2 linked regions of the Kluyveromyces lactis genome follow. The main gene of each other region encodes a partner of the protein of the gene in region 2 in a complex. Links are inferred from orthologs where the notes say so. Each region holds a gene or a part of one and is shown on either strand. Other genes may lie near its edges.

Region 1 (4,154 bases), on a different chromosome or scaffold from region 2:
TCAGAGGTCAAACTTTATTACTTGATGTTGGTGACAAGCATGACACCATACCATATGCACATGCGACTATCACACATCAAGCAAAGAGTGGTGACTGGACCTTCGTCATTAAGAGACCTGGAAAGAATGGCAAGAAGGCATATTATATTCTTGGTGGTACCAAACAACCTGGTGATTATAGTGTAATGCCTCGTGATACAGATACTGAGAAGCTCATTGGAAGAGGTAAGAAACTTTTCCCTGAATTGCTTGAAAACTTCGAAATCAAGAACGTCAACGTTGGTTTCAGACCGCTAAGAGTAGGAGGTTCGCGTGTAGAACTCGAGTTCAATAAGAGTCCTGATGGAGAACAAATGCCAGTTATTCATGCTTATGGTCTTGGTGGGATGGGATTCGAGACCTCGATGGGTGTTGCCTACCACATTCAAAAATTGTACAACAACGTCTTCTCCACTTCAAAATTATGATGTGCGCTTGCATCGAAATTAAAGACTACCTACTGGACATTTCACATTAAAGTAAATAATTCTGTAAATAAAGACCACGCAGCATTTTAAGTTAACTTTATTTGAAAGTATCAATAACGATTACACTTCATTCGAATGAAGGGATTGTACAACGGAGGTTGTTACTAAGTAAAAAAAGTATGCATCTCAGTAACGAAGTGAGTGGTGCCGTCAGGACGTTTACGTATTTTATGGTAAGTGGAACTCATTATATGTTGAAGGGTGTAGATTACATTTCGTTATATGGTGAGGAACCCAGTGCAATTGAGCAAGCTTACGCCATATTCATGAATGTGTTGGAAATAGATGAACAAGGGAAAGTTATCAACGTCAAACATGCCGAGAAACGAGCAACAGACTACATTAGGTCTTACTGTGAATCGACCTTCGAGGTTGATCCACCTTTCGAAGATTGGGAAGTTCAGTTATATTGAAAAATGTACCTCCATTAGCAACTATTTTAGACCGGCGTTGGTTTTCTGGGAGCAATTGGCTGCTTATACACCAGAATAGTGTATGTTTAGAGGCTGCTACATAGTCAAAAGATAGTATTAGTATTCATACATGATATCAACCTTTATTCACACTGGATATAGGCAACCAATTATAAATCCGGGTAACTTGTAGTTTACGTTGACTATCAAAGAGAATCAACCAAAAGGTAATAACGTCCAGTAAACTTAAACAGTAAAACAGAAGTTTTCTGATATAAAGAAGGTGGAAAAGCCAGACTTAAAACATTAGAGAACGTATAAATTTGAAGAAATTCATTATTGGTTCCATATATAGTACCCCTAATTGGAGATCTAATTGGGTATCTGCGTTCTCTGTTTTTCTAATTAGGAGACAGACAACTTTTTATTGAATAACAGAGCGGAAAGCAATTGTTACTATCTTTTATGAACTGCTAGTACCAAATTACAAACTTATAACACCTAGAAATTTTCCAATTCAATTTAAGATTACCTTTTCTTACATTTGCATTATTGATCAGCTCTAAAAGATTTCAACAATGGCAAAGCGGGTGTATGATCCCATTCACGATACTTATCAGATACAAGTTACTCCAGAGCCGCCTGTGCTTTCACAGCCGCGACCAGATGGTAACGAAGAGGAAGACAGAGACTCGGATTCTACTCAGTCAGAACCTTCTCAATCAGCTGCAATTTCCATGCCAGATTCTTCTAATGACGAAAATAAATATTATGAGAAGGAATCAACGGTGTCCGCAGATTCTCCTAATTCAGCATTGCCATCTGATTCACAGCATTCCGTAATACCTCCTCCGCCACCAATGGAGCTGGTTCAATACCCAGGGAATGAGAGGAAATCCAAACATTCTCATGCTATGAACTTTATGACAACTACCCTGAGACCAAAACCTAAGGCAAAAGAACCAAGCCGATACACTCGCCATTTAAAGAAATCTGACGGTGAACCTTTCACTCGTAAGGACATTCAATATGAGTTCCTTTCGAACCTTCTATCTGACACAAGACAAATATTTAGTAATCCGTTCCAAGATTTCTTTCCCTTGGAATACACACCAGAGGAAGGTAAAGTGGTGAACGTCACGGATGTGGACTATAATGCAAGAACTTTCATCAAAACCGAAAAATTAACTTTTTCTCAGATATACATTTTAACTATCGCTTCTTCAAGTAAATGTTCCAAAGTATTACGGGATAAACTACTTTTTGATCATCATGTAGCGTTTTCTACGTGCATATTATCATTGTTGGTGAATATGGGAAGATTGAATACGACTGTAAATTTCTTTCTCGAAATGACTTCCCAGCTGCGTACCTTCCATTCAATTCCATGTCTACAGCACTATAGTTCAGATCCTAAATCATTACAAGATACTCCAAGGATTAAGTCGATCCTCAAAACTATCCCACTTGGGTCCGACACTCCAATAGAGTTTCATAAATGGTACGCAGCAGATTACCCCCGTAATCCTAGCGAATGGGTAAATCCAGTATCTTTGATATTTGCTTTTTGCGAACAACATGCCATACTAGATTGGAATATTATAATTCCTAATTGTAAGCCCAAGACCTCTCTTTACCAATTATTTGATGATAATAATTATTCTCCACAGCTACGAGTCAATCTTTTCTTGTGGTTGATGTATATCCATATGGAGACGAACCTCACACCGGAATCGTTACAGTCTTCGAAACCTCTCTTCCAAGTCGAACCAAACGGAACGTTCTTATTGACTGCGTCTCATTTAGAACATGATATTGACACTCCAGTAGAGGTAACATACGGAGAAGAGCAATTGGAAAAGAGAATAAGCTTTTTGAATCAAACAGGAGCAGAGAGGACGATTGTCCAACAGACGATGGAAACTCCTCCTACAGGCCCCGATGATGAACCGTTGGATCCAGAAGCAGCACTAGAAGAACCGGTACCGGCTCCTCCACCACCAAAGCCCAAGCAGTCACGAGCTACATCAAAGGAAAAAGGAGGGAAGTCACAACCGGTGATAATCCAACAAGATACACAGCGAAAGAAGAGACAGTCGAATGCAGCAGGTTCTAAAAATAATTCGGAAGAAAACAACAATAACTCTGAAAGTAAAGCTGCAATAAGGGCTAAGATTCAACAAGATAAAGATGAGCGAGTACAGCAAAAAATTGATCTTGATAAAAATTTTAAAATTAGAGATGATTTGACTCAGACTCAATTGAGAACTAAATTGATTGAAGCCCATAAAATCACCAACAAGAAAAACCATGAGTTAGGCTTAGTTAAGTTATTTGACGAATTCGAAGATGTTCCTCTTGCAACTATTATTGGTATCCGGGGGAAAAAGAGAAAGAAGTTCAGTGACGGCATTTTAGGATATGAGACAGACATGTTAGGAGTGCTACGCCATTCAAAAAGAACAATGCTCAAAAGGCTAAGAGAGAAACGCGGAGTGCCCAACCCTGAAGAAGAAAACAGCTCTGCTGTCCAAGAAGCAACGACTGAACCAAAAGTAATGGCTGAATCCACTGCAGAAACTCTGGCGGCAGATCCAACTGAAAAAGTGGAAAACGAAAGGAACGGAACTGCCTTCCATGACAGCTGAATAGTTCCAACTTCTGCGAACGATAGTAACACTAATAATGACATTGTAATTAAATAATTGTAGATCCATATTTAATGACTCCTAATTGAATTCCATACTGGTATATAAGGAAATCCAAAATTTTCTGTACTTTGTTGGTCAGTATCAACGTTTCTGGGTATGGCGATGGTAAATTCCAGTAACAGTGAAAAGAAACCTCTAAATCATTAAGAGTTATGGTATTGTTAGATGCCCTAATGAATTTACTTGCCTCGACGATCTTTGATATCATTTGCTCGTGAAGTTCCTTTATCCTAAGAAATTGTACGACAGCCATCATAGCAACATTCACGTTCTGAGTATCTTCGGCATATTGAATTATAGGCTGTAACTCAACTTCAAACGCATTCAAGTCAATAGCCATGGAACGAATACTCTCGTTTTCTACTGCTATTCTGAAAGAGGCGGTGAAACTACCTTTACGTAGCAGGATCATATCCTTTTCACATGTGACTGTAACATCATTTAGTGTAATATCCAGATATTTCTTTCTCTGTTCAATGTTTAAGCTCGGTAACACACGCGGT
Region 2 (2,494 bases):
TATTAAGAACACTGCATTTTACGTATTGGGACTAGTTTCATATACCATGGAGGGGCGGGAAATGCTTGAAGAAGTCGGCTGGGAATCAATAATGGACACTCGAGGTATGCCAATTGGTGTATGTGTCCCAAAAAATGCCGATACATTGTTGCATTGGTCTGACCTTGGGCCTATCAAAATACCACCAGGAGACATTCAGATTGAATGGGATGAAGTGAATGAACACAATCAGAACGCGGCGTCTATATGTAACAATGAACTGAATTCGAACATTATAGTTGGGGACCATGAGATCCCTTTAGACAACTTATTGGAATGGGAAAGATCCGAGACGTCTGTGAATCCCGACCAGCAGGAAGAGGACAAACAAGAATTGGAACGAGCGATCCGAGAGATATCCCAAACAAATGAGTCGAAACTGCCAGATGTGTTTGAAGATGACAAGATCAACAATAGGATCCTAAGGATAGTAAGCGATATGGGCAACAATATCCTTCTGAATGGTGCGATCAAAGAGATAACTGCTCTCCAGTCCAAGTATGGGCCTAGTAGATTCCAAAGCCCAGAAATGTTTGAACAAGTTTATGAATTATTGGGAGAGTACCGATTCAAACCCTCAGTTCGAAAATTTTTGTTGGAACTGTTCATCAACACACGAGCCGTTGAGAACATGATACGGAACGAGAGGAGAAGAAAAAGATAATTCAGGACAAGCCAAACTTTCATTCAGAACCATCCTTATATAGTAATGGAGTCATCTTAAATAATTCATAAGATTCTTGTAAAGCTTCTGGGATCTCGATTTCATCCAAGGGCAACGAGTTCACTTCTTCTAAACTCTTCAAAAGTGGTACCAGAGCATCCCAATCTTTAAACTTCTGATAATCTGGCTGTTGGAAGATGGGGTATCCATTTAAATTGATGTGAATAGGCTCACCTAATGATTCTAATACCTGGCAGACACTTGTAATCTTGCGAAGCAAGATACTGTAATCTTTCCTAAGAGAAACGTCTTGTTTCAGCAATTCTTCTCTTCTATTAAGAAGCTTCTTGTGCTCTACTTCCAAAGTCGGCATATTGGATGTTTGGTGGTAATAGCACTGAAACTGGAGAAAATCGTCTCACCTCGTAAATAGTTGTTCGAAGTTAAGAAGAAGAGTGATAATTGCTGGCTTAAATTTCTGCTGAAAGAGAGTTCCAATCGAGAGAGACAGTCTACTACTTCTGTAGGTCACGTGAAAATACATGTGACTTGGAAATGCTGTTCAGTTTGGAGCTCTTTCAATCAATCCGGGTAAGTATCACGAAGTCATCGTCACCATGTGAAAGAAAGGAGGAGGATGGTGTGGAAAAAAAAGGATCAAAATTGCTTTGGAAAAGTGCATAAAAACGCCACAACAAGCACAACCACCGCCCCAACCACACCCTTACAGACCAAATTGAGCCACATTGCAGTCCGAACCATTCCCCGTGACCGGTTAGCCATGACTACGGCACAGCACGTGACAGTTACCATTTGCCCAACCTACGTCGGTCTTATACCACACTATTTACGTCAAAACACCGTGCAGGAAACCATGTGGAAACCATTAGGCAAACCACATGTGAAATGCTGTGCGATTCGTGGGAAGTGTTATTTTGACGACATGTGCTTTTCTATGGTATCTGAGAGAGCCCCATCTCTGCAGAAAGAATCCTTTGGTGAATTGTGGTGAAAAGTTTTGTTCTGTTACGTTCCGATGAGCTCAAGTCAAAAGTAAGTAGTAGTAGCAGCAGTAGTAATAGTGGCAGTTTTGTAGTTGAGCAGATTTTTTCGTGGGAACGACTAGAGCAGCCGAAGGTAATTAAGACTCATCGTTTAAACGATGTTTGTTGGATCAGAAACTTCAGTCCAAAGAGGATCTGAAAAAAAATGTATATAAGCAGTCGACTCTTGATGTAATTTGAGGAGTGACAATTGTTCATCATTACAATAATAAAAGGAATTATGTGTACTTTGTTTAAATACAGATTTATTTCCTTTATCATTCAGTTTGAGTTTAATATCTTAAGCCAAACAAACCAATCACTAATCATACATTAGTTTGTCAATAACAAAATGGTTCAATCATACGTCTTAGGGTTCCCAAGAATTGGGCCAAACAGAGAATTGAAGAAGGCTACCGAAGGGTACTGGAACGGTAAGGTCTCTGCTGAACAATTACAACAAGTTGCTAAGGACATCAAGGCCTCTAACTGGAAGTTGCAAAAGGATGCTGGTGTCAATGTCATTGCTTCCAACGATTTCTCTTTCTACGATCAAGTCTTGGATCTTTCTCTATTGTTCAACGTTATCCCACAACGTTACTCTAAGTATGAATTGTCTCCATTGGACACTTACTTTGCTATGGCTAGAGGTTTGCAAAGAAAGGCTACCGAAACCACTGCTGCTGTTGATGTGCCAGCTTTGGAAATGGTTAAATGGTTTGACTCCAACTACCATTATGTCAGACCA

Evidence for each region.
Region 1: IES5 (region 2) and IES1 share a complex: the UniProt entries of both Saccharomyces cerevisiae proteins name them as parts of the chromatin-remodeling INO80 complex. The link is inferred for Kluyveromyces lactis from reciprocal best matches to the Saccharomyces cerevisiae genes IES5 and IES1.

Annotation. Positions count from the first base shown.
Region 1 is NC_006040.1:651,272-655,425, forward strand, and holds IES1 (Ies1p), read left to right. Parts: upstream 1-1,518; coding exon 1,519-3,588; downstream 3,589-4,154. Other genes in the region: KLLA0_D07568g (FAD-dependent oxidoreductase), read left to right, coding at 1-467; KLLA0_D07579g (uncharacterized protein), read left to right, coding at 647-940; KLLA0_D07612g (uncharacterized protein), read right to left, coding at 3,638-4,154. UniProt on the Saccharomyces cerevisiae protein: Probably involved in transcription regulation via its interaction with the INO80 complex, a chromatin-remodeling complex.
Region 2 is NC_006041.1:1,787,917-1,790,410, reverse strand, and holds IES5 (Ies5p), read right to left. Parts: upstream 1,077-2,494; coding exon 723-1,076; downstream 1-722. Other genes in the region: TORC2 complex subunit TSC11, read left to right, coding at 1-703; KLLA0_E20087g (uncharacterized protein), read left to right, coding at 1,341-1,715; MET6 (5-methyltetrahydropteroyltriglutamate-homocysteine S-methyltransferase), read left to right, coding at 2,099-2,494.